4 linked regions of the Notamacropus eugenii genome follow. The protein of the gene in region 1 interacts with the protein of each later gene in a pairwise test. Links are inferred from orthologs where the notes say so. Each region holds a gene or a part of one and is shown in the gene's direction. Other genes may lie near its edges.

Region 1 (7,034 bases):
TACAATCACTTGAGTTCCAGTCCTGTCTCTGACATGTACTGAATGTTTCTCTGGGCAAGTCACTTAACATCTTTGAATCCCCAAGTAACTCTCAAAGATTTGTTGGAGGGAATTCCTAATCTGAAGTTCCCTATATAAATGTAACCACAGGATTGATCCAAATAAAGATGAAATTATAATATAAAAAGCTATATCTCTTGATTTTCAAAGAATCTGTTTTGGAGGAAGAATACAAGAGATGACAAAGAAAAGGTAAGTTCAAGAAAAGAACTGGACATTATATATACATATATATATATTTACATACACACACACACATAGTGTAATGTAATAGGTACACACGCAAATTTATATGCACATGGGCAATATGTGTGCAGTATGTATACACATGTGGACAAATATGCGTGTTATATACATACATGAGTTCATATAAACTTTGCCTTAGATATTTTTATTTTTCTACTTAATAGTATTTTATTTTTTCAAATTACATGTAAAGATAGTTTTCAGCATTCACTTTTGCAAGATTTTGAGTTCCAAATTTTTTTCTCCTTCCCTTCCTCCCCTTCCTCCTCCCCCTCCCCAAGATGGCATGCAATCTGTTATAGGCTATACTTGTACAATCATATTAAACATATTCCCACATTAGTCACATGGTGAAAGAAGAATCAGAGCAAAAGAAGAAAACCATGAGAAAGACAAAAAGGGAGAGGGAGAGAGAAGGAGAGAAAATACTATGTTTCAATCTGCTTTTAGACTCCATAGTTCTTTCTCTGGATGTGGATAGAATTTTCTATCATGAGTCTTTTGGAATTGTCTAAGATCATCGTATTGCTGAGAAGAGCTAAGTCTATCAAAGTTGATCCTTGCACAATGTTGCTGTTACCATATACAATGTTCTCCTGGTTTAGATGATATTTTAAAACCAATTCTCATAAAACCGTACGTGTCTAACTCTGAGATGGGCAATTAGTATTATTAGCAATTCATGAGAGAAAGTACAGCATGTTGGGAAGAAAAGTTTGGGTTTGGAGTGAGAGAATCTGGATGCAAATCCTGTTACTTGTCACTTGCATGACCATGCATAGTAGTAATTTACCTCTCTGGACCTTGTTGCACAAGATGGCTTTCAATAGCCCGGCCAGCACTAAATCTATGATCAATAAATTCTCATGTTTTAGAAACTGAAAAATAAGGTTCCCTGGAGGAGGTTACTTCACCGCTGGGTCTCAGTTTCCTCAGCCGTAAGTTGAAGGGTTAGATTAACTAGTTAGTTGAAGGAGTTAGCCTAGCTGATCTCTAAGGTTTCTTCCAACTTGGTTGGCCTGTTTCCATAAGGGATTATTGTTGTTCAGTTGTTTCAGTTGTGTCTGACTCTTCATGACCCCCTTTGGAGTTTCCTTGTAAAAAGATATTAGAAGGGTTTGTCATTTCCTTCTCCAACTCATTTTATAGATGAGGAAACTGAGGCAAACAGGGTGAAGTGACTTGCCTGGGGTCACACTGCAAGTAAATATCTGAGGCCAGATTTGAACTCAAGAAGAGGAGTCTTCCTGACTCCAGGTCTGGCACTCTCTCTATTGCACCACCTACCTACCTTTCCATAAGGTGCCTGAGCAGAATGCATCAGGTACAGCCTTCTACTAATGGGTCATTTTGCAAATCAAAATTTATTTGCCAATAGTATAAGAACAGAGAAGAAAACCATCAAAGATGATTTTGCAGTGTAGTTGGGAAAGATCATCAGGTCTCTCCTTCTAATTTGAGAAAATGGGAGGCTAGAAAACAGAAGGAAAAATACAGAAATGAGGCTCAAGATGGAATCTATAACAAAGAGTTCTGAGCTAGTTGGTGGTTAAGGTTACTATCTATTTAAATTTATTTCATTATTGCCCCCAGTATTTAAACAAAGAGGGGCAGCTAGGCGGTACAGTGGGTAGTACACTGGGCTTAGAATCAAGAAGACTCATTTTCCTGAGTTCAAATCCAGACTCAGACACTTACTAGCTGTGTGACCCGGGGCAAGTCACTTAACCCTGTTTGCCTCAGTTTCCTCATCTCTAAAATCAACTGGAAAAGGAAATGGCAAACCACTCTAGTATCTTTGCCACCAAAAAGGGGTCACAGAGTCGGACATGACTGAAACGAATGAGTAGCCTAAACAAAGATGCCAGCTGTCTTCAGCAAGTGGCAATTTCTCAAATAGATAATTGAAAAGAGCCTCTCACAGAGAGGTATGGGAGCCCCCGGAAGTATCTGTTTGTTAAATTTTCAGTGTGAGCATTTATACCTCAAATCAAAGGCTACAAATCAGGGCTTGATTTGTTGTTCTGTTGATTCTTTAGACTTAAGAACAAAATGGAGAAGGTATTAATAAAGCAGATTAAACTAAAAGTGTGTCCAGCACACATTTCTCCTGCCCAGAAAGCTGGTTGTTAAATATTTAACAGCACACCCTTGAGTCCTAGCTATTGTTCTCCTATCTTATATTTGTGATATTGAGTTTTTAAACCCAATTGTAAAGACTGCATTTATTCATATTAAATTTCACCTTATTTTATTCTGCCCAGCAACCTAGCCTGTCAAGATCTTTGGGGATTCTGACTACCTTAACCAAGTGTTAGCCATCCTTCCTCTTTTGTGTTACCTACAGATTTAATAACCGTATTGTGTAAGCCTTTATTGAAGTCACAGACGAAAATATCAAACAGCACGAGGCCAAGAACAGATCACTGGGGTGCTCTACCGGAAATATTTAAACTGATACCAAACCATTAATTACTATTCTTTGAGTGTGGTCATTTTACAGATGAGTAATCTGAGGGTCTAGTCTCATTTAGCCAAGTCTGAACCTAACCAATTATACTGCTGTCTAGCTCACATCTCCCTCTATTCCAAAATTTAATGAGAGACATTATTCAATCCAACCAATCCAATTTCCAAATGAAATTTGGTTAGTCTGGCATGGCCTGTTCTCCATGAAGTCATACTGACTCTTTGTGATCACAGCCTTCTTTTCTAGATATCACTTTATTTAATTATACATTCTAGAATTTTGCCAGAAATGAAAGTCAAGCCAATTGGTATAGAGTTTACATATTTCTTTCTGTTCTCTTTTTGAAAATCAAGAAATTTAACCTCCAGTCCTACAGTACAGTTGCTTTTCTATGCAATCTTTATTTAAAAATATTTATTGATATCTCTTGTTTCTATTTCACCTATATTTCTGAAAATATTTCTTTTTTTCCCCCTACCTAGTTAGCCATCATTTTTAGCAATTTTTTTTAAAAAAGCATTTCAGCAAAAGGAAATAACACATGAATCAAAATTCATTGCTTATTATAGTGCCTGGCACATAGTAGGCTCTTAATAAATGTTTTGGGGCAGGTAGGGGGTACGGTGGATATAGAGACAGGCCTGGAGTCTGAAGACTCATCTTCCTGAATTAAAATCTGGCCATAGACACTTAATAGTTGTGTGACCCTGGGTCAGTCACTTAGCCCTGTTTAGCTCAGTTTCCTCATCTGTAAAATGAGCTTGGGAAGGAAATAGGAATCAATTCCTGTAATCTTTGCCAAGAAAACCCCAAAAGGAGTCACAAAAAGTCAGATATGACTAAAACAACTGAACAGCAATAAATATGGATTAATCTATCTAAACTTACTGGGTTTGCAACATTCTGCACTGATAGTCCCACATCTCTGGTTCTCAACTTTTTCTTCCCAGGATTACTTTTCCATCTGACTCAAGAGCAGAGATACTGAGGCTTTCTTGACACCCTCCTCAGAGTGATTTATGGTCTGGAACCAGTGGCCAATTGAATTTCTCTAATAGAGTACAGTGGAGGACCTGGGCATAACTCAGCTGTATCCATCACTAATCATGATTCAATCTGCTGGCTATCCTGATGCTGCTAACTAGAGAAGACAGCTGGGATAGACAATAATCGATACTGGCAGCAGACAGAAGGAGAGAGCAGAGTCTGACACAGAGCATCAGTTGTCTCTGACCTAGAGGGATTCTTCTACCAAGGAAAGTCCTGCACAGCTGAGCTCAACTGGAGGAAGATGAAGCCAAGGTAAGCTTCTAATAATTCCCTCATGCTTTTTAATAGTAGTAAACAAAATAACTTGATCATCACAAAAAGCTCCCAGTGCACTTGACCTTGCAGTGAAAATACTATAGAATTGGGAAACTAATAAGGGTTTCCAAATGAGCATGGTTCATAGGGTACTTAGAAATCAATTGGTATAGCCCACTCATCTTCTAGATGAGGAGATTGTGGTCAAAGAAGTAGAGACTCATGCAAGGTGACAAAGGTAATATAAAGTCAATCCATTAATACATCAAAGATCTAAGAGGTAGCATGATACAGTGAGAAAAACAGTGGGTTTGAAGGCAGAAGACCTGGGTTCTCAGTACTTGTGTGGCCTTGTCATAAATAATGTAACCTCTCTAGTCCCTGTAAAATGAGTAGATTGGACTAGACAAGGGACCTTGTTCATCCTTCATTTTCAAAGAGGGTCATTGCCATCACTGGGTAATGTCTTGACTTGTGTGAGAATTGGATTTAAGCGAGGCAGAGTTGCACACTGTTTTCAGCCTCACTCTCTCCGGAGTCATTGAAGTCCAGCAACAAGAGAAAAGCTAGAATTACTGGCACTGGCCCAGGTGGTTGTGGATGACCTTGGCCTCTTTGGGGTCTGACCAAACTCTAAGCACTCCTTAGCTCCTCCTTCAGCAGCCTTCATGGCCATTAGAATAAATTGTTTTCATCTGCTTATTCTGTTGAGAGAAATCTTCACATCCCTGGGGTAGACATCTCCCTGACTCACCAACAAGTTTGAGGCCTGTCGGTTGCCCACCACCTGACTTATCCCAACTGCTGCGATGGTGCCAGAGTGTGGCCTCTGCACATGCTGCAGCTTCTTGGAGCCACAGATGAGAGTTGGGTGAAGGTGGACACCAATGGTGGATGAGCAGCCCTGATAAAAGTTCAGCATGCCCTCACATGAGATGTGCTAGTCCTCTCTGAACCCCCCATACACCCCAGAAGAGACCTTAAAGTCTAAATGATCCTGTGATGCTATGACTACAATGAGGGAACAACCTCCACGAAAGAAAATGGCAGCCCATGGTCAATCACTTGTTAGCTGAATCTTGCAGACTTGCCTGAAGCTCAGAGTGGTTGACATGACTTGGGATCACAGATTTGAGCTAGAGGGACTTAGAGGTCATCTGTCCTATCTCCTCATTTTACTGATGGACAAGAGAAGGTCACAGAGGTAGAAAGTGGCACATCTGAGATTTTCAGCGTATATCCAGAAAACCCACATAGGCAGCGATGAAGACAGCCTACTGACTAAGGTTCTACATCCCTTAGACTTCAGGTTCTATTTCCTAGGACCATGCTGGAAGAGAAACAAGAAATGATCTGAGAAAGCTTAAGGCATGTTTTAGGCAATGAAGTCGTCCAATTTGGCTGAAAAAGAGGGTGTGTGTAGGAGACAAATTTGAGATAAAACTGGAAAGGTAGGTTGGGGCTGAGTGGCAAAAGGCCTCGAATGCTGTGCCAACACAACCACCACCCTAGTTGAGGCTCTCATTACTTCTCGCCTGACTCAAGTCTCCCCCTGTTCCAAATACAGCCTGCCAAAGTCATCTTCCTAAAGCTCAGGTTTGACCTTGTCCCTCCCCTGCTCCTTGGCTTCCTGTTAACTCTAGAATCTAATATAATCCCCTTCTCCCTGCCGTGCAGCATCTGAAGCCCTTCCCAGCCGGGTTCCAACCTATCTTTCTAGCCTCTACACATTGGTCCCTTCCATGTACATGGCAGCTAAGCTAAACGAGCCTTCTTCTTGTCCCTTAGGCACCTTCATCTTCTTCCTTTTGCTTTTGTACTGTTCTGTCCCCTACACTGAAATGTACTCCTTCCTCACCTCCATCCTTTAGGATGATTTGCTTCATTCAGGGTTCTATTCAAGAATCATCTGTATAAAGTTTCCTAATTCCCCCAGCTATTACACTTTGCTCCTCAAATCACCTTGTAAGTGTTTTGTACACACACATGCATACACAACTTTTACGTATATGTAAGTATGGGTGGGTATATATGTATATATGTGTGTTATACACACATACACACACACACACAAACACACACACACACAGGTGGTCTCTCTAGCTAAACTGTAAGAAGGACCTGTCTTGCTTCTTCTTTTTAACCCCAGCATCTGGCACAGGGTTTAGCATTTAGGGATAAAGATTAGAACTGTGATTTTGATGTTTTGAGTAATTCCCAGGGAAAGAAACTCTCTCTACCAGTACATGTCATCATTGTTCTGAAATGTACAACCTTGGAGGACTGCCTGGAATACTGAGAGGTTAAGTGACTTACCCAGGGTCTCAGAGCCAGCATAGACCCATACCCTCCTGGCTTTGAGGCTAGCTCTTTCTATCCACTGAGCCTGCCTACTTCAGATAGAACCTAGGAGATAATTCATAAATGCTTGTTGAATGATTGAACCTAAGGGGTTTGGGCTTTACTTTATAGGCACATATTTCTTTAGTAAATAGGAATGAGGGTCTCATATATTAATGAAGGTTGTCCATGATGACAGTGGGCCCGGATCCAAATGCTTATATAATTCCATTCCTCCTCCTATTTAGTATGATGATGGGAAAGGATGAAAGGAAAGAAGAAAGAGTGCAAGAATGTTGCTTTGGTTTTTAGGGTTTTTTGTTTGTTTTTTTAAAACACAGATCAGTTGTATTCATCAGAAGGTTCAGGCTTTTATAGTAGAGTTAGCACAGTGAGGGCAGAACTATTTCATTTTTGTTGTATCTCCAGGGCCTAGCATAATACCCAGCTTTTAGTAGGCAGTTAATAGTAAGTGATGGATTGATTTGGGGAACAATTTCACAGTTTTAACCCTATGTCCATGCCTACAGGACTAGTTCCTGTCATTTTCTCAAGACCTCATTATTCAATATTTCATCTGTTACCATTCGGGAGCCTGGCGTGTCTAATGTAT
Region 2 (7,036 bases), on another chromosome or scaffold:
TAATCTTGTTTGCCTCAGTTTTCTGAGCTGTAAAATGGAGACCCTGGAGAAGGAAATGGCAAACCACCCCAGTATCTTTGCCAAGAAAACACCAGTTGAAACCTTGATGAGTCAAACTGAAAGAGTCAGACTGAAAAATGACTGAACTATAACAACAAAAGGTCATGGGAGGATAGACTCTTGTGAGAAGAGCCACCCCTGGTGAGGATTATAAAAGAACGTCAACTAACCATGGAAGGGAAGGGAATTAACATTATATAGCACTTATTATGTGCCAAACATTTTGCTAAGTGTGTTAAAAATATTAATCTTACTAGATCTTTACAACAGCTTTGAGAGATAGGTAGAGTTATCTTCATTTTACAGCTGAGGAAACTGAAACCAATTTTTTTTAAGTGACTTGCCAAGGGTTACATAGGTTGTAAGTGTCTAAGGCTGGACTTGAACTCAGCAGAGAGGACCTGGGGTCTGGGAGGGACAAGGAATGAGATTTATATACATCTATATACTTTCTTCCCAGGAATGACTTTCTTGGTGCAGAAGCCAGTGGCACTTGCTAAGAATATCCAATTAAGGCCAAGAGATTATAGCCCCTAAGCTGTGTAGGAGTAGCAAGAGATCCTTGAGAAGCACAGGGTAGAGATGGACATATTCTTTACCACTTGACCCAAGAGGGGAGGGGTTCATTGATATTCTTCTTGAACCCAAGTGCTTTGCCAAGGAGAATGAGGAATCTTGATTTCCTAAGCAGTTTGGACTGGAGAGAGACAGAGACAGAGACACAGAGAGAGACAGAGAGAATGAGATTCTGGGAGATAGAAGAGGATTTCCCAAGTGAGCCCTGTAATTGGAGGAACTATAAGGGTTAAAATCTCAATAAAAGGAAGCAAGACATTGGTACCTTGCCTCCCTACTATTGAAATGATTAATTCAGACAGTTCAGTCTAATGGTAAGGTGGTTGCATATCCAGCAGCCCAAAAATGTTTTTGCCTTCTGGAATTTCCTGTATGTGGAGGAGGTGGGATGTCTCCTGCCTACCCTGGGACCTTTGGCCATTGCTTCTATGTGACAATGGGTTCATGTATTTCTAGTCAAGCCTGACCTGGGCTTTGGGCTCCTGGCTGCCTTTTATGTTTTGTTAGATTAAACAGTGATTGAGAGATGATCTTTTTGGAATGGCTATACTGAGAGTTTGGGAGTTCTTGGGTTCATCAGTTGGTGCTGGTTGCATTTCAGGAGGATTCCCCCACTGGAAGCTACTGTAATGTTTTTCAGAGAACTCCCAGGATGAAGATGAGTTCAAACCTCAGCCTGGTTTCCCAGAAGACATGGATCTGGAGGCAGCTGTTTGTATAGTACAGTCAAGGTGAAGATAAAATGCCCATTCAACAGTACCACCAAATGTTCCTTGTCTTAACATTTTAAATCTCAACCTCCTGGAAGAGCATGGTAGTGATTGTAAGTTGCAAGTTTGTGTTTGATGTGATCAACTCATGCTTGTGAGTTTTGTGTTTTAAGCATTTCTTTTGAATGAAGGAAATAAATAGCTGTCCTATACCTGATCTTCATTGTACAGAGTACCTTTCGATTTCCCTTTTTGGGGATACCCCAGACATGAGCCAAACTTGAGCTATAAGTAATTTTCCCTAGTACTAGGGGGTAGCAGTGAATAAAGATAGAGTGGACCAGAAAAGGAGCCTTACCCTTCTTTTTTGTTTCTTTTAAATTAGTTTATTTGTTTTCAGTTTTCTACAATCACTTTCATGTATCTTAGATATTTCCCCTCCCTTCCCCTCCCTCCCCCCCCCCCCCCCAGTATTATATAGGTTCTACACATACTTTCCTGTTAGATACATTTTCACCTTGGTCATGTTGCATAGAAGAATTAAAATGAATGGGAGAAACCATAAAACAAAACAAAACATAACACAAGAGAAAATGGTCTGCTTCATTCTGCAATCCAATTCCATAGTTCTTTCTCTGGATGTGGAAGGCAGTTAGCCTCAAGAGTCCATTGGGAATATTTTAGGACTTTGCATTGCTGTGTAGGACTATGTCTACCAGAAAAATTCCTTGCACACTGTGGTTGTTGCTGTGTACAAAGTTCTCCTGGTTCTGCTCCTTTCACTCAGCATCATTTCATATAAATCTTTCCAGACCTCTCTGAAGTCTTCCTGTTCATCATTTCTTATAGCACAATATTATTCCATTACATTCCTATACCACAACTTGTTCAGCTATCCCCCAGTTGGTGGGCATTCCCTTGATTTCCAGTTCTTGGCCACCACAAAGAGAGCTGCTATAAATATTTTTGTACATGTGGGACCCTTTCCCATTTTTATGATCTCTTTGGAATATAGTCCTAGAAGCAATATTGCTGGGTTAAAGAGTATGCACATTTTTGTAGCCCTTTGGGCATAATTCCAAATTGCTCTCCAGAATGGTTGGAGCAGCTCACAGCTCCACCAACAATGAATTAGTGTTCCAACTCTCCCACATCTTCTCCAACATTTATTATCTTCCTGTTTTGTCATGTTACCCAATCTGATGGGTATGATGTGGTATCTCAGAGTTGTTTTGATTTGCATCTCTCTAATCAATAGTGATTTAAGCATTAGGACTATAGATAGCTTTAATTTCTTTTTCTGAAAACTGCCTGTTCATATCCTTTGACCGTTTATCAATTGGGATAGGTTAGGTACTCAAGACACAGTAGTTAATGAATATAGCTTTTCTACTGTTTGATAAACCCAAAGACCCCAGCTTCTGGGATAAGAACTCACTGTTTGACAAAAATTGCTGGAAAAACTGAATAACAGTGTGGTGGAAACTGGGCATAGACCAATGCCTGATACTGTACGCAAGAATAAAGTCCAAATGGATACATGATCTAGGTATGAAGACTGATACTATAAACAAATTAGTGGAGCAAGGAATAGTGTATTTATCAGATTTATGGAGAATGGAGAAATTTTTGACCATACAAGAGATAGAGAACATTATGAAGTGCAAAATGAATAATTTTGATTACATTAAATTGAAAAGGTTTTGCACAAACAAACCCAATGCAACCAAGATTAGAAGGGAAGTAGAAAACGGGGAAAGAATTTTTGCAACTAATGTCTGTGATAAAGGCCTCATTTCTAAAATATATAGAGAACTGAGTCAAATTTACAAGAATACGAGTAAATCCCTTCTTTTTAAGAGTTTGGTTCCTCTAGGACTGAATGTGGTCTGTATGCATGAGTCCAGAGCTGGGGGGGTAGGGAGAGGCCCTTGGAGGGAGAGGGGTCAGCAATAGTCTTGTGTATTGCTATATATGGTAATATATTTAGTCTTAGGCAGAAGTAATCCAGATATTCATTCGCCTCAAGGACAAAAAGGAACAGAAACTCATGTCCAGTATATAAAAACAGCATATAGGAGTTATAGGGCTGAAAGGGAGCTTAGAACACATAACATAGAACGTCAGATCTGGGAGGACCCTTAGACCATAGATCACAGAATGCCAGAGTTGTGAGTGATCTTAGAGATCTTCTAATCCAGGAATTCTTTACCTGGGGTCCATAAATTTATTTTTAAAAAATACTTTGATACCTGCATTTGAATAAAACTGGTTTATTTTCTAATTCTATGTACTTTATTTTATGCTTAAGAACATTATTCTTCTGATTCTGAAGAGTCCTTAGACTTTACAGACGATCAAAGGGGTTCCAGACATAAACAAGATTGAGAACTTCTGATCTAGTCTAACACCCACTCTTTACAGATTAGAAAACTGAGGTCCAGAGAGGGGGCATAATTTGCTCAACATCATAGGTAATTAGTGGCACAACCAGGATGAGAATCTTCTGCTTCTTGGTCCAGGCTTCAACATACTCCTCTGTCTACCATATACTCCCTGGACAGAGGGTGGGACTGGACAAGATGGGCAGGAAGCAGCTTTGGGCTGTGCTCCCTGAGAGGCTGTAATGTGAGTCCGGCTGAAGGTGGGGGCTGAGAGCAAAGGGAGGGCATAGGGGCCTGATGCCAGTCAGGGATTTTGCTTAAATACTCCTGGGGGTGATTTAGTAATCCTCACAGTTGGCAGGGGACTGACTCCCCTATGCCAGGCTCCTTCCCCTGCTTTTTAAATCAAGTGATCACTGAGTTTAAGAGGAAAGCCATTAGGAGAACTGAACCTGAATTTAGACATGGGCAGCAAGCAGACAGTTTTCACTCCGGAACAGCTTGACGCATATCAGGTAAGAGCCCTGAGAGGGAGGAACAAGAGTCTGCCATTTGAACCTGGTTTAGTTCAACATATTAAGGGTCCACCAAACTAAATGTGAGTTCTTTTGCTTGGTCCTAGAGAAACAAAGATGAAAAACATCTATTCCCTCAAAGATCTTTCAATCTAAGGGGGATAAATAGGAATAACTATAAGACAAATTGGAATGTGATAAGGACGTACAAGAGGTTAAATAGAAAAGGTGAGAGATTTGGGTCAGGCAGGATCACTTCAGAGGAGGCTTCAAGGACATTTACTTTTTATTTTAAGAAAGGGAAGGATTTCTACCAGTAGAAGTGGACAAGGGGCATCTCTTCCTGTTATGGAGGATAGCTTGTGCAAATGCATGGAGATAGGAAAGGACAGGATGGGAAGAATGAAACTGAAAGATGTTGAGTTCAGTAGTTTGACTGCAATATAGAGAGAAAGGTGGTAATTTGCCATTAGGTTGGAAAAGTCCATTAGATCCAGATGACGGAGGGTCTTCAATATTAAATCAGGGAGTTTGGATTTTCTTTTGCAGATAGGGAGCCATTGAAGAGTTTGAGCAGGGTCTAGACCTGTGCCTTGGGGAGATTATTCTGGAAGCATGTGAAGGACAGACTGGAAAGGGGAGAATTCTCTGGATCTAAGATGAGTGCCCTCTGCTTTGACCTTGTGTCTCTTTTTGACTGCTTAGACTGCTCCATCTTGGATTATAGCTACTGCACTCGCTGACCTAGACTACATTTGTGTGGGGCTGAAACAATTCTACCAGAAATTCAGCTGTTTAAGGAAAAATATTTGTCAAAATGGTTGATTTGTGTTATAGTTTTCAGGTTGATAGATGACTGACCTTTGATGGCTGTGTTCATGAAGTCCAATGGAGATCTGGCCACCCTTATGAAAAAGCATATTTGTGGCACAAATAGGAGGATCTTTGCTAATTCCCTGCTCTCTGGAAAGGAGGAAGGGGAAGCTTTGATAAATCAACATTCTCTATGCCCCTTTCTTTGCAGGACTGCACCTTCTTTACAAGGAAAGAAATTCTGAGGTAAGTCTCTTCTGGGACGCACTCAGCCATCACTGGGAAGGTTCAAGCTGAAGGTAGGTGCTTATAGGATCATAGGATTTTTGAGTTTAAAGGGATCTCAGAGATCATATAATCCAGGGGTTCTTAACCTAGGATTTCAGGTTGTCTGTGAACCTGGGTGGGTTTATTTTAAAAAACCTTTGGTTTCTTTGATCATCCTCTGAATTTTATCTTATGCCTTTAAAAAATGTTATTTTGAGAAGGGATCTATAGGTTTTATCAGGTTGTCAAAGAAGCCTACGACCCCCTCCAAAAAGGTTAAGAACCCCTAGTCTAATCCAACTTCATCATTTTACAAATGAGGAAACTGAGGTCAATATTTTAGTAACTTGCCTAAGTTTCATACAGGCAACAACAAGTAACAGAGCGGGGATTTGAATCCAGATACTTTGACCCCCAATTCAGTATTCTTCCGTGTGTTTTGCTCAGAGCAATGCATCACGGGACAAGTATACCAGATAGCAAAACTGCAAAGCTGACAGTTTTGTTTTCAGGGCAGGGATGTATGCAATGATCTTGTCATACTCTCTCAAAAGAGAGATAAACACAGAGAAATGGAGGTGGGGGGGGGCGGGTAGAGCAAACTCTCTTCTTTTTACCATGAGCTTAACTGTGAGTTGGCATCATCAGGTCACTCTGCCAGGATTATAACTGATGATAATACTATTGATTGTTTGGCTTGATGCTGATTGACAGCTCAGTTGGCCAGTGACAAAGGACTTCTTGGCCGGTCCTCCCTAATTGAACAGGTAACAGTGAGAAGTACATCATGTTCCCTCTTCCTCATCCCTGTCAAAATCTGTCTCCCACAGCCTTCACTCAGACTAAAGTATAAAGTACTAGGAATGACTGGGATTAGATTTATTCTGTTTGGTACCAGAAGGAGAATCAGGGATAGTGAGTGGAAATTGCAAAGAGGCAAATTTAGGTTTGATGTTAGGAAACGCTTTCTAAAAATTAGAGATTTCCCTGAGTGGAATGAGCTGCTTAAAATGCTCAGGTTTCCTCTCACTGGAGGACTTCAGGCAGAGGCTACTAGGTAACTACTGGTAGGTTAGGTTATGGTGGGCGTTCCTTCATGTTTGGGTCAGACTAGATGGCTGGGGAGTTCCCTTCTAACTGTCAAATTATGTGATTCTCTAATTGATAGCTTCAAGGATGAGCCCTGGCAGGATATTGGGGGAAGGAGTGGTGAATTGTAACAGAGATCAAACCCTTAAATTAAAGGAGAGCAATTTGAAGAATAGATGATGGGATTTAGAGCAGCATGGGAGTTTAGGGATTATTTGGTCCAGAGGTTCTTATCTTGGTGTCTGTAAACATTAAAAAAAAAATGGGATAACTATTTCAATACTTTGGGTGCTCCCAAACTCTTAGTTTTAAACCATAATAGCTTAAAAGCTCTGTTAAGCTATTAAAGTTGAAAACTTAGATTAAAAGTCTTACTTTTAAACTTTAACAGATTAAAAACTGCGCAGTTTTAAGCTATCAAAATTAAAAACTAAGACTCCTGAGACACTCTGTGTAACTGGTTTTCTTTGTAATTTTATGTATTTCACTTAATGCATTATTCCAAAAAGGGTCCCATTGGCTTCACAGACTGCAAAAGGAATCATGACACAAAACAGATCAAGAACTCCAATCTAGTTCAATTCTCTCATCTTAGAGATGGAGAAACTGAGAGTCAGAGAGA
Region 3 (6,832 bases), on another chromosome or scaffold:
CATGAAAAAATAAATAGCAAAAAAAATTAAAGTCAGGCAAGTGGAAGCTAATGATTCTATGAGATATCAAGAATCAGTCAAACAAAACCAAAGGAATGAAAAAACAACAATGTAAAATACCTCATTGGAAAATAGATCCAGAAGAGACAATTTAAAAATTATGGGACTACTTGAAAGTCATGATTAAAAAAAAGAGCCTTGACACCATCTTTCAAGAAACTATCAAGGAAAACTTCCCTGATATTCTAGAACCAGAGGGTAGAATAAATATTGAAGGGAAGGACAAAAGATCTATCAAAAATATCAAGGGAATCAATGAAAAAAATATGAAGAAAGGTGGCTTGGCAATACCAGATCTCAAATTGTATTACAAAGCAATAATCATCAAAACAATTTGATTACTTGCTAAGAAGTAGAGTGGTAGGTCAATGGAATAGATTATGTACACAATATAGAGTAATAAATGGCCATAATAACATAATGTTTTATAAACCCAAAGATCCAAGCTTTGGGGACAAGGACTCACCATTTGACAAAAACTACTGGAAAAACTGGAAAGCAGTTTGGCAGAAATTAGGTATAGACCAGCATCTCACACTGTATACCAAGATAAGGTAAAAATGGGTACATGATTTAAACAAATAGGGTCCTGCCATAAGCAAATTGGAGGAGCAAGGAATAGTTTACCTGTCAGATTTCTGTATAAGGGAAGAATCTGTGACCAAACAAAAAACAGAGAGCATCACAGAATGCAAAATGGATAATTTTGATTACATTAAATTAAAAGGATTTTGCACAAACAAAACCAATGAAGCCAAAGTTAGAAGGAAAGCAGAAAACTGGGGAAATTTTACAGCAAGTTTCTCTGATAAGGGCTTCATTCATCAAATACATAGAGAACTGAGTCAAATTTATAAGAACATAAGATATTCCCCAATTGATAAATGGTTGAAGGATATAGACAGGCAGTTTTCAGATGAAGAAAGTCAATTGGAAAAAATGCTCCAAATCACTATTAATTAGAGAAATACACATTAAAATAATTCCAAGGTACCACCTCACACCTATCACATTGGCTAATAAGAAAGAAAAGGAAAATGACAAATGTTGGAAGGAATGTGGGAAAGTCTGAATACTAATGCACAGTTGATGCAGTTGCAAATTGATTCAACCACTCTGGAGAGCAATTTGGAACTATGCCCAAAAAGCTATAAAATTGGGCCTATCCTTTGACCCAGCAACAAGTCTATATCCCAAAGACATTTTTTTTAAAAGAAAAAGGATCTATATGTGCCAAAAAAATTTATAGCAGTTTTATGGTGGCAAAGAATTGAAAATTGAGGGGTTACCCATCAATTGGGGAATAGCTGAACAAGTTGTGGTATGATTGTGATGGAATACTATTGTGCTATAAGAAATGAAGAGAAAGATGCTTTCAGAAAAAGACATGAACTGATACAAAGTGAAATAAGTAGAACCAAGAGAACTTTGTACCCAGTAACGGCAATATCATACAATGATCAACTGTGAATGACTTAGCTATTCTCAGCAATACAATGATCTAAGATAATTCCAAAGGACTCATGATAGTAAAAATGCTATCCACCTCCAGAGAAAGAATGGTAGAGTCTGAATGCAGATTGTGATAGAGTCTGAATGCAGATTGAAACATACTTTAAAAAAAACTTTATTTTCCTTATTTTGGGGTGGTGTTTTTTTTGGTCTTTGTTTTTTTTTTCACAAGATGACTAACGTGGAAATATGTTTTGCATCATTGCACATGTGTAATCTACATGAAATTGAGGACAGAATTTGGATCTTGAAAATTTTAAAAAACAGATGTTAAAAATTTTTGCACATAATTGGAAAAAAGCATTAAAAAATTTATTAATTGTCAATGTGCTAAGTGCTGGGGATACAAAAAGAGGCAAAAGATTGTTCCTGCCCTGGAGGAGTTTACACTAGGAAAGAAAACACGAAAACAAATACATTCAAAGTAAGCTACAAATAGGGTAAATAGGACATATATAACAGTGGAAAGGCACTGGAATTAAGAGGGGTTGGTAAAGACTTCCAATAAAGGAAGGGATTTTAGCTGGCTCTTAAAGGAAGCCAGGGAAGTCTGTAGTTGGAGTAGAGAAGGGAGAGCATTCCAGGCATGTAGAAGAGCTGGAGAAATTGCCTAGAGCCAAGAGAGGGAATGCCTTGTTTGTGGAATAGCCAGGAGGCCAGTGTCACTGGATCGAAATGAAAGTATTGGGAAGCAAGGTATAAGAAAACTAGAAAGGTAAGAAGGATCCAAGTTACAAAAGGATTTGAATACCAACCGAAGCATTCTGTATTTGCTTTTGGAGGCAATAGGAAGCCATTGAGGTTGATTGAGTAAGAAGGTGACATGATTAGATCAAAGTTTTAGAGAAATCATTTTAGTAGCTGAATGAAAGACAGAGTGGGGAGAGACCTGAGGCCCGCAGAACCCCTCCCTCCCCCAGTAGGCTGTTGTAATAATCAAGGCTTGAGGTGATGAGGGCTTGCACAAGAGGGGTGGCAGCATCAGATGAGAGAAGGGGAGAGTAGTGGAAATCTCCAATTTCCACAGACTTAGGTGTCTGTGCATTTTCTAAGCCTCCTCAGCTTCTTTACTTTTCAATGGGGGGAGAAGAGGGAAAATGTGGCAAAAAAAAAAAAAAATGATAAAAGTGTAAGAGAGATGAGAAGAGAAGGAGAGGTTGTGGCCTGTGAGTCACAGTGCCTCAGGTGAGCTAAGGACTCAAAGGACTGACCTCTTATGCTCAGCTCACCTAACCTGACATCCCCTGATTGAGCTCTTTGCTAGCTCTCCGTTCAGCCAGCTTACCCTCTTTAGGAACAGACAGGGAAGATAGATATAGTTTAAGTGAAGCTAGGTAGGACAGGATCCCTGGGAGACAGGAGAGCTCCAGCTCAAGTCCTTGTTCAGGTCCCAATGCCTGGAGCCCTTCCTTTGAACCCTCCTTTTTCTGCCTGCTGGTGACCATAGAGGCTCCACTGGTCAGAGGGAAGAACGGACATAGGTTAGTTACTGTCTGCTCCCTCTTATCAGAATCTATGTCCAGGTTTACTCATCAGAAGCTCTCTTCTCTCTTTCCAACCCTTGGGTTAACTAGCCTTTTAAGATCCTACATTTCCTCTTCCCCAATTTTTGTTCTGAGCCGGATGAGCCTGCAGGACTGATGTGAAAGGAGTGGAACCCCTTGGGCTGGCCATGTAGTTTCCCTGCAGCTATTGGACATAACCACTACCCCCTGGAGGAGTGGCTGGATGAGGGTTCTAACTCCCTTGGTGCTGACTCCCTAATATTCCCTCTTCTGGATTGGTCTGGGGATTGGTTGGCTGAGGGGAAATCATTAAAGGACCCCACTTCTTTCCCTCTCCCTTAGCTGGAACTGCTGATCTGGGGAGAAGAGAAGGAAACGCTAGACAGTCGGGAGGCAGGGTGCCTGAATCTTTTTTTCCCTTAGAATGACCTGTTAAGTGCCTAAGGCTTAGTTTCCCCTGAAGGTCCAGTACAAAGTCCTACAGGACAGTCATCTAGCTTCCTTTGAGGCTGACCTCAAATGACTGGCTCTGTCCCCAGAGAACCCAACTACGTTGCCCAGTTTAGAAGACTCCCCTGATTTGCTTGAAAGCCCAGACATTTGAATCCTGGTACCCTCCGCCTCAGTTTCCCTTTCCCTCCAGTCTCTGGCCCGAGTAGGGCTGGGGTGAGGGGCGGGACCAGGTGGGCGGAGCAGCTCCGGCTCCTCAGCTCCAGCGGCCACGCCCGACTTGACTCACCCGCCCGGCCCCGGTGCTGCTCGGGACGTCCGGAGGAGACCGGAGCGCATTCCCCGAGAGCTGGGACTGAGTCACTGCTGCACCGGCGGGTGAGTCAAACGAGGGGTCTGTTCCTAGAGCAGATTCAGTTCTGAGAATGGGGATCTATCCCGGCAGGGGAATCCCCTCGGAGGACGGGGATCTGTCCGGAAGGCTAGGGATCTGGACCAGGAGAATGAGGCTCTGTCCCGAGAGCTTGGCGGGAGGGAGTTGTCCCTGTACGGGGAGGAGGACCTGCTGGGAGAACGGAGGTCTGTCCCGAAGGCTGGGGAGCTGCACCTGGAAATCGAGGACTAGTGTGGAGAGCGAGGGGAGAGTGGGAATTATCCCCCCGACAGGGAGATCTGCTGGGACAGTTGAGCTGCGTACGCCACCACACACAGTCTGCCGGGAAAAGAGCGAGATCTACCCCCGGGCAATTGTCGGTGCCATTGAGGCTGAGCCCCTGAACTGGGGGTGGGGGGGAGAAAAGAGCTGAGAGAAGACTTATTCGGGATTCCCTCCTAGTCCCGACCTCTTTTACCCTAAACCCCAGTCCTCATAGATCCTGTTATGGGGCCCAGTCCAGATCTCTTCTACTCTGAGCCCCTGTCACCATAGACGGTCCCCTGACTTATGAAGCGATTGTTTCCCTATCCAGACCCCAGACCCCAGGCCCTGAGATTCCAGTTTCAAAATCCCAATTCCTATTCCTCGATTTTTGACTCCTATCTCTCCAGTCAGCTTTGAGATCCTCAGTCCTCAGCATATTGACACTCCACTATCCTGTCCTTTGGACTAGCCTGTGATTTGGCCAATTAACAAATATTTGGGTGTCTGCCTTCTAGGGATTTCCAATCTCCTAGAAGAGTTAAGACAAGGTTGAAGATAGCTAATCCATAATGAATCCAGTATCATAGGGCAGAGGCCAAGATCTCTAGCCAAAGAATAGGTAGGGGCTGTCTGCTCAGATAGAGCTGGAATGGTCTGGGAAGGCTTCCCACAGGTGAGTCTTGGGTCAAGCACTGAAAGCCCAAGATGGAGAGGATTTATAGAACAAAAGGGGGAAGGACATCTAGAAAAAGGGGTGACAGAGCAAAGGTTAGGGCAGACGAATGAGGAGGGGATGGTGCTTGGAGCAGAAGGAGACATGACCTTGCAGGGGTAGGTTGGGGCCAGTTAGAAGAACATCTCAAGTACCCACTGCAGTGCCTTTTTTTCCCCTCTAGGGTGGGAAAGCCATGGAAAGTCAGGGCAGGGACATGGTCAGACCTGGACTTTAGGAAGATACTTGGTAATTTATGCCAGAAATATCATCTAGAGGTGAGGCAAGAGATGGAAGGGAGGCTGGTCAGGAGGCCATTGTCAGGTAAATGAAGTGCATGCGTCCCCTGGCTTCTCTTTTCTGTGACCTTCCTGTCCCCATCTACTCTGCCTCAGGCATCCAGGGCTCAAATCTTCCCTTACAGATCTGATCTTAGGAAAAGAACAGATGAATCTCTTTGACAAAGGAGTCAGTGACTGAAATGACTGGCTAGGGGACCCTCCCACATATTGGCATTTTGTCAGGGTTAAATGCCTTCAAAGGAATGAAGTCCTGATGATGGGATATCAGGCCTTCCTCAGGGGTCCAGAGCCTGCTTTGAAGTGTCTGAAATCACCGTAGGTCATAGGGTAGATGCTGCCCATCACTTGAGAATTCATTGCTTAGAGGTCTATTATCCTTGGGCCCTTCCACCAGAATCGTTTTCAGACAATGTCCTTGCGCGTGGAGACAGTCATGTGTCTATGGGGGCTTAATGATAGGTTTGGGACCACAAAGTTAGAATTAAAGACAGACAGAGATAATGACAATTCCATGTGTCTGCCAATCTATATGCCACTCTACATTTGGGGCTCTGTCTGGGACTGTGTGTGTTTTTGTGTCCATCTGTCTGGAATGGATTTCTTGTCTGATGTTGTTCATCTCTGCCTCTGTTTATCTGTACCTCTCTGTGTTTGTGACTAGGATTGTGTCTGTCAGTATTTAAGAGAGACTGGTGGGTTGGTGACTATTTCCCTGGGTTTGCTCAATATTTCTATGTGAGCCTGTAACTGAGTAACCAACGATGAGTAAGACTGGGTCTACTGTGATTGTGTATCTATCTGATTGGGTGTTTGAGATGCACGATGGGGACTGGGATTCTTCCTCAGTATTTGTCTTTCTTGAGTACATTTCTAAGATTTTCTCTGACATGGTAGGAACTGATGCAGAAACAAGGGCTTTGTGACCTAAGCTTATCGATAAGTGGTGCATTGGATTTAGTTAGGTGTTTTTTTTTGAGGGGGGTTGTTATTTTTGTCCATCTTTCATTCTCAAAGAGGACAAATGATATGACTTTTGGGGGGGTGGAGGATGGGAGAAGATTTGATGTTGGCTGTGGAAAGTGAGACTTACAGTGATAGACATAATTAGGTGTTTAACAAATGACTTCCATGCTGATCTGCTGTGAAAACCAGAACAATTCAAAATATATTAAGCTCCTACTAAGCACCTCTCTTAGGGACTGGAGGATGTGGAGAAATAATATTGCTTGCTCTTAAGGAGGTGATATTCTATGTTAGGGGACACGATGTGAACAAAAATATTTATAGGACAAGGAAAACGGAGGAGCAAGGTAGAATCAAGGAAGACCTTGGGGAGGAGGGGATGGAACATCAATTGAGTCTTGAAGGGACCGTGAGGTTGAGCAGGGAGGGCCTTCCAGGCATGTGTCATGTGAAGAGTGCCCAGAGACAAAATTTGGATCAGGGAGGATGATCCCTAGAGCTACATCCAGGAAAATCGACAGTCTTTCTGTTTGACAAGAACTGATCATTGGTGAAGGGGAGTCCTATGAAAAAAGATTGGAAAGGAATGTGGGAGCCAGATTGCAGTGGGCTTTAAGCAGTTTGTCACTAGAGATAGGCAGCAGAGGATTATAAAGTTTAGAACAAGGAGAGTGGCAGTGTGGGGCTA
Region 4 (7,405 bases), on another chromosome or scaffold:
ATTTAATCATCCCCATCTGACTTTCACATTTTTTTTTCCAGTTTTATTTCATAATTCTCTTCTTCATATACTCTATGTTCCTACCAGACTGGAATGTTAGCTGTTCAATTATGTTTAAAAACAATTCTTAATATTTATTTTTAAAAATTTTGAGTTCTAAATTCTCTCTCCAACCTCACTGTTCCCCAAACTTGACATGCTTTCTCCCAGGGTTTGTCTATACTATCTCCTGTGCCTGGAATGTGCTTCCTTCTTACCATTCACTTGCCCCAAGGCTCATTTAAGGTACATCTTCTTTTCTGAAGCTTTCCAGATCTTCCCATTTACATCACATTCTTTCCATTTTCAAAGTATTTATTATTTACATATCTGTATATTTTGTCTTTTACCAGTAGACTATGCCTTGAGGACAGGGTCCATTTGTTGTTTTTTGCCTTCATACCCCCAGCAAGCAGGCCTTTGGTAGGGAAAAAGAATGCAAAGGCCAGAATGATCTCCTGAGAACTATCTAATGCTACTTTATTTTAAAGAATAGTTATTAGCATTAATTCTGTAGTAACTTTGTAGTTACGGCAAATTGGGCCCTGAACTGTGAAATATCATGTTGTATATTTGTCAAAGGAGGAGAAACACTGGACTCCTCTGAGCTAGGGCAAAGTGCCTTTACCACAGCAATCTACCTTGAGGCCCACTCAGTCTCCAGACTTCTAACTTCTCAACCGCCTTGAGAACTGTCTTCCCACCCTGAAGATACTTCTGCCTTGAGTTTTGCTCTTCTGATTGGTGAGTCTCTAGCCAAGATTACCATTTTATGAGGGGTTCAGGCCATATTCTCTTCAATCACTCTCTAAACTTCTCCATCTTCTTTCCAGAGAAAGGAGATAGGCAATTGATCTAGTACCCCTCAACTCTACGACTCCCCTTTATGTATTGTCTTTCCTCCTTAGAATGTAAGTTCTTTGAGGGTAGAGACTACCCCTGAATCAGTCAAAACAAAAACGTGGTTGCACTTGTATCTTATTGAGGAATTATTCAGTCCAGAGATCCTCCCACTTTGGACTGTTTGACTGAAGGCCTATAAATCAAGAGGCAAGGCTAGAAGACATAAGGTTTCATTATCATCAGCTGGTAGGCAGTTGATAGGTGACTAGCCACAGAACCAAGGGAGGTACATACATACATAGGATTTTACACAGCAAAAGGTGTTTTTATAGTTTTACAGTGGCATAAGAAATCTCTCAGCTGAGGCAACTTAGGTACTTCCTTTATTGAATAATAGGGACAGGATGTCAGGTGATTTGGGGGAAGTGATGTTTTAAATGGAGTTTGGATTTGTTAACTTCATTTCTTGGGCAGCTAGTTGTAACAGTAAAGACCCTGGCATACACAGGAGGGCCTGTTGTACATGTTCTTAGATCTGCTTTTCTAAAAGGAAAATGACTTTTGAGGGATCAACAATCTATTTTAATCAAGCACATGTATCATTCACTTAGTTCAGGGGGAAAAGTTAGCACCCTGAACTTCAGAAAAAATACAGGCAGAGAAATAAAGATCAACAGACAGGGCTTCCAACTATCTGACCAGAAGCAATACATACATCACAGATCAACAGACAGATCCAACTTCACAGACCAATGTACATACATAGTTACCAGAGAGAGAAGCACCAATAAATATCTGGGTTTTTAAAGTCGGGGGGGCTTCTTAGCAGCTACCCAGAGTCTCCTCTGGCCAAACAAACATTTCCAATGAGTAAGCCCCAAAACAAAACCTCACCTCAGAGTATTTATACATTTTTCAGAGCAAGAGGGCAAGATCCCCTGATCCAGTGCTTCAATAGAAATTAGCAAAAGATATTGAGGCCTGTTAATGGGTGGGGAAGATCTTTAACTCTTCTCCCCCACCCCCTCCATTAACCTTAAATTATTGTTACACTTGGTGGTATAGTGAATAGAGCACTGGGCTTGGAACCAGGAAGATTCATTTTCATGAGTTCAAATCAGACACTGGATAAATCACTTAGCCTTGTTTGCCTCAGTTTCTCAGCTGCAAAATGAAATCTTTGCCAAGAAAACCTGTAAAATGGGGTCAAAAAGAGTCAGCTATGACTTGTTGTCTAAGGATTTACCAAGGATCCTGTTTACTCTGGTCACTAATCCTATCAGAACCTAGGTCTCCAAGGTAGTGGAAGCTTCCTTCCAGATAGAATCAATGGGCTTATCCTGTTGAATAAAATTTACACACTCCTGTAGCTCCTTTTGACCTTTAAAGCTACTTTTTCTGGAGAGATGTTTCCCCCAAACTTACAGCACACAGATTTTATCCATTTCTTCCACAATTCCCAACAAAAGTATACTTGTATTTGTATCCGCAGTATTTACTTCACTGCTTGGCACATAAGTGCTTAATAGATGCTCTATCTAGCCACTTAATTAATACTTGGTCCCCACACATTTCATCATGCATTTCTATGTTTTGCATAAATGGTCTTCCCATATTTGGAACGTATTCCTTCCATCTCCACTTCTTGGAATCCCTTAGTTCCCTTTTCTTTCTTTCTTTTTAAAATTTATTTACTTATTTTTAGTTTCCAACATTCATTTCCACAAGATTTTGAGTTCCAAATTTTCTCTCCATGTCTCCCCTCTGCCTACCCCAAGACAATGTGCATTCTGATTACTCCTTGCCCCAATCTGCCCTACCTTCTATTACACTCCTCCCTTCCCTCATCTCCATCTGATTTCTTGTAGGGCAAGATAGATTTCTATACCCCATTACCTGTATATCTTATTTCCCAGTTGCATGTAAAAACAATTTTTAACATTCGTTTTTTAAACTTTGAGTTCCAACTTCTTTTCCTCTCCCTCCCCACCCATCCCCACTGAGAAGGCAAGAATTTGATATATATTATACAAATATAGGCATGCAAAACACTTCTATAAAAGTCATGTTGTGAAAGACTATATTTCCCTTCATCCTATCCTGCCCCCTATTTATTCTATTCTCTCTTTTGATGCTATCTCTCCTCAAAAGTGTTTACTTCTAATTACCCCCTCCTCCCATTTGCCCTCCCTTCTATCATCCCCCCTAGCCCTCATTTATCCCTTTCTCTCCTACTTTCCTATAGTGTAAGGTAGATTTTCATACCAAATTGAGTGTGCATGTTATTCCTTCCTTGAGCCAAATGTGATGAGAGTAAGGTTCACTTTTCCCCTCTCACCTCCTCTCTCTTCCCCTCCATTCTTGCCTCTTTTATGAGATAACTTGCCCCATTCCATTTCTCCCTTTCTCCTCCCAATATATTCCTCTCTTACCCCTTAATTTCACTTTTTAAAATATCATCCCTTCCTATTCAACTCACCCTGTGCCCTCTGTCTATATGTATATAACCCCTCCAATTACAGAGAAAAGTCTCAAGAGTTACAAATATTATCTTTCCTTGTAGGAATATAAACAGTTCAGCTTTAGTAAGTCCCTTATGATTTTTCTTTCCTGTTTACCTTTTCATGCTTCTCTTGATTCTTGTGTTAGTAAGTCAAATTTTCTATTCAGCTCTGGTCTTTTCTTCAAGAGTGCTTGAAAGTATTCTATTTCATTGAATGACCATCTTTTCCCCTGAAGGATTATACTCAGTTTTGCTGGGTAGGTGATTCTTGGTTTTAATCCTAGCTCCTCTGACCTCTGAATATCATATCCCAAGCCCTTCGATCCCTTAATGTAGAAGCTGCTTAGCTTCCTCTTCAAAGAGCAGTTCAGATGCCACATTTTAAAGGCCTTTCCTATTCATCCTATTGATTAGCACTCTCTCATTCTCTAAATTACTTTGAGAATATTTTGCATTTACTTACTTGTGTACATACCTTATCTTCCCAATGGAATGCACACTCTTTGAGCATAAGGACTGTTTGCTGTTAGTTTTGTTTTTGTATCCCCAGTGTCTAACACAGCACCTTGCCCATATGAACAAATATTAAGTTGAATTGAATCCTATTGAGTGTCTCCCTCAAGGTCACCACAGCAAAGAATGTGATCGCGTTTCCAAATGACTGCTTTCAGAACTGGACAGCTCCAAGGGGAGTCTAAACAGAGCCTGGGTTAGAGGCTCCTCATCCAACTGAATTAGCCTTGTGAACTTGGGCAAGTCCCTTTCCTCCTGCGTCTCAGTGTCTTCATCTACAAAACGACATTATTTATTTCCAAGTTCTCTTGCAGCTGTAACGTTTTCTATTTCATGTTGGTCTTTCAGCCTGATATTCTTTAGTCTTAGGTCCCTTCCGGTTCTAAATCTTATCCCGCGCATTCTTGCTCTTAGGGTCCACGGGATCCCTTTGAGGCGAGTCGAAGCTGGGACTACAACTCCCAGAATACCCCGGGGCGCACCTCCTCCCGCACTTCCGGCGTGCGGCGGCAGCGGCGGGTAGCTAGTCAGGGCGACGGCTGCGGGCGGAGGGCGGCGAGTGACAGGTCGCTACGGGGCGGGAGCCAGGGTCGGGGCCGGGACCGGGGTTTTTGGGGACTAGCTTTTCTGCTTCTCTCGCTCGTCCGCCCGCGGTGACCTTCATGGGCCGCGGGCCCCCCGCCCCGGGGCGGCTGAGGAGGGCCGTGTGAGGCGGCAGCAGCGGCGGTGACTGAGGCCGAGGGAGACTGAGGCGAGCGAGGCCCGGGCCCGGCCGGAGCCGAGGGAGGGCGGCGATGTTCGTGCAGGAGGAGAAGATCTTCGCCAGGAAGGTCCTGAGGCTTCACATCTGCACCATGGAAGGCACCGAGTGGCTGGAGGAGGTCACCGAGGATACCACGGTGGAGAAGCTCAAGGAGCGCTGCCTCAAACACGTAAGGAGCCGCCGCCGAGCCGGCGGGCCCTGCCTCGGGCGCCCCTCATCCCCATGCCCCCGGCCCTAGCCTCCCGTCCCTCGTCCCCTCCTTCCGACCGTGGCGCACAGCCGAGAGCCGATCTGCCCTCCGTTCTCTCCTCCGTTTACATTTTCCTTCCCTCGCTGAACCCCCCCCCCCCCTTTTCTTTCCTTTTCACTCACTCTCGTTTTCACTGATGCTTCTTCACTCCATCCTTCTCTCCTTTTCCCTACTTACAGTTTTGTCTCTTTGCTTTTCGTCTTCTCCTAAAGTTTCGTTCTCCTTTTTAATCTACTTCCTTCCTTCTTTCTTTTCTTTCCATTTCTGTTTTTTCTTACATTTAACCTCTTTCTCCCCTTTTCTTCCTTTCTTCATTTTACAGCTTATTCCCCCAGATAATCAATAAGTATCAGATACTTACTATGTGCCAAGGCAATGTTCTAGGTTCTGGCGATACAAATAACGAATGAAACAATCCCTACTTTAGAAAGGAACTTACTTTCTCATGGAGGAGTAAGCAATAATACCTGTATTTGTATCGGCATAGCTATTGGGGTGTATCTGTGTGTGTGTGTGTGTGTGTGTGTGTGTGTGTGTGTGTGTGTGTGTGTGTGTGTGTGTGTGTGTGTGTAGGAAGAGAGAGAGGCATATAGGTACATATGCGTGTGTATATAGCTACAGTTAATGTAAAGAAAGTAAAAAATGCAAAATAATTAAATTTAAAATGGTCCGAGAGGGAGGGAACTGGAGATTCAGAAGCCCCACCCCTTCCTCTAGTGTTTTCACATTTTTTCTGGTTTTAGACACCTTTTCCTTTTTTCCACATTTCTCCTCCCTAATTATAGTTTCCTGTGCCCTTCTTACTACTTCTAAACTCATCTAACTCATTTTTCCATTTCTTTTTGCCCATTTGTGTTTTCCTTCCTTAATCGCTTTTCTGCTTTCCTTCTTCCCCTCTTACATTTCCATTTCTTGTTATCTGTCTTCTATATCTCTTCCTCCTACAGTTCTTTTCCTTTTTCCTCCTTCCCTCCTTTTACTTCTGGTTTTTCACCTCATCCCCCTTTGTTTTGACATCTTTTTTTGACCTCGTTCAATAATCCTTAGTCTGTGAACTCATTTTCACCCACCTCCATTCTGCTTCTCCTGGCTTTTTCTTCTTTCTCTTTTTGTAGTACAATGGATTCTGGTCCTAACTTTGCTCCCAACAAGCTGTGCAGCTTTAGGCAAGGGAAAGCCTTTCTGGACCTCAGCTTTTCCATCTGCAAAATAAGATGCTTGCACCAGATGATCTTTAAAGGACTTTTCTAGTTCTCACATTCTATTATTTTCTTCTTTTCTGAGGTAATATGAACTACAGAAGGAGATAGGTAGGACACTAGACACTTACCCTCATTACATAATCTGCTTCAACTCTTTTGATGATTCAAGGAAATTTTGAAAAGGATCTTTATATTCCTCTGTCACTTTCAGTGATGCACAGTAGGGATAAAGAGGCAGAATGGCCCCCTGAATAGAGTTAAGAAGACTTTGATTCAGGCTCTGCCTGTAACACATACTGACTGTGTGACCCTTAACCTCTCAGTGCTCTAGGCAGAGAAGGTGCTGACCTTTGTTGGGAAGAGGATTTCCTAACCTGAATTTCCTATATCTATGAAATCACAGGTCCAGGTCAATTCCTATCTTTCTGGTGAAGTTTTAATTTTTTTTTCAGTTTCACCATGAACTCATAGTTAGTGTTTTAAGGCACACTTAAATGAAGTCATAGAAACATTAAAACTGTCTCGATAAAACCTGGCATTTTGGACTATTCTTGTTAACTGTTATTTGTGTTGCATGTTCTCCACAGCAGGGTTTAGTTTTTTTTTCCTACTGTACTTGAAACCACTAAAACGTTACCTCTCCTCTCAAGGCATTCCTCTTTGGTTTGAAATTACTACCTTTAAGAAAAAAAACTAAAAATGGATTCCTGATTTCTGATTTTCTGAAGTGACCACACTTTTAAATTTATTGTACACAAATGAAATGAGTTAGTGTGTGTGTATGTGTGTAGCTATCATATATTATATAACTGATGGCTGAAACGAATTCCTGGAGACTTACTCATTTCTGTAAACTTTAACTTTATAACACAATTCATAGACCAAATGTATAAATGCCTAGTCAATACTTGTCACTATGTTACATAAAGTGTTGTGCCAGAGGCCATTGTCTCATTAGAATTGGGAAAAAAGCTGTTGATTGTGTCACCACAGTAACCCGTTAGTGTGAAGTGTTTCTTTATGTAATATTCATGTTATAAGATATATGTGACTATGGAATATGCATGTTGTAATAATCTATGTGTGATACATTAATTATCCTTGAATGTTAAAATATGGGTAAATTGTAGCCCAGAGATTCCTTGGTGTTATAGTAGCTGTCTAAAACATTGATTTATAGTTATTTTCAGAGATTAATGAAAACTATTCTGCAGAGTCGCTATTTTTATAGGGTTATCCACTAAAGTATGGAGCGTAGCCTGCTACTGTTTATTTACTTGCTATAGAACTAT

What was found.
Region 2: the proteins of TRIM2 (region 1) and CIB3 interact in binary tests that used the Homo sapiens proteins (3 or more experiments, as listed by UniProt). The two-hybrid records come from large-scale screens. The link is inferred for Notamacropus eugenii from reciprocal best matches to the Homo sapiens genes TRIM2 and CIB3.
Region 3: the proteins of TRIM2 (region 1) and LRRC8E interact in binary tests that used the Homo sapiens proteins (3 or more experiments, as listed by UniProt). The two-hybrid records come from large-scale screens. The link is inferred for Notamacropus eugenii from reciprocal best matches to the Homo sapiens genes TRIM2 and LRRC8E.
Region 4: the proteins of TRIM2 (region 1) and UBAC1 interact in binary tests that used the Homo sapiens proteins (3 or more experiments, as listed by UniProt). The link is inferred for Notamacropus eugenii from reciprocal best matches to the Homo sapiens genes TRIM2 and UBAC1.

What each region holds. Positions count from the first base shown.
Region 1 is NC_092877.1:151,306,234-151,313,267, forward strand, and holds the start of TRIM2 (tripartite motif-containing protein 2), read left to right. Parts: upstream 1-4,012; 5' UTR 4,013-4,078; intron 4,079-7,034. UniProt on the Homo sapiens protein: UBE2D1-dependent E3 ubiquitin-protein ligase that mediates the ubiquitination of NEFL and of phosphorylated BCL2L11. Plays a neuroprotective function. May play a role in neuronal rapid ischemic tolerance.
Region 2 is NC_092875.1:59,264,161-59,271,196, reverse strand, and holds the start of CIB3 (calcium and integrin-binding family member 3), read left to right. Parts: upstream 1-4,019; 5' UTR 4,020-4,194; coding exon 4,195-4,245; intron 4,246-5,269; coding exon 5,270-5,304; intron 5,305-7,036. UniProt on the Homo sapiens protein: Acts a an auxiliary subunit of the sensory mechanoelectrical transduction (MET) channel in hair cells. Plays a role in regulating hair cell MET channel localization and function.
Region 3 is NC_092875.1:51,719,754-51,726,585, forward strand, and holds the start of LRRC8E (volume-regulated anion channel subunit LRRC8E), read left to right. Parts: upstream 1-3,819; 5' UTR 3,820-3,905; intron 3,906-6,832. UniProt on the Homo sapiens protein: Non-essential component of the volume-regulated anion channel (VRAC, also named VSOAC channel), an anion channel required to maintain a constant cell volume in response to extracellular or intracellular osmotic changes.
Region 4 is NC_092872.1:490,824,358-490,831,762, forward strand, and holds the start of UBAC1 (ubiquitin-associated domain-containing protein 1), read left to right. Parts: upstream 1-4,388; 5' UTR 4,389-4,692; coding exon 4,693-4,830; intron 4,831-7,405.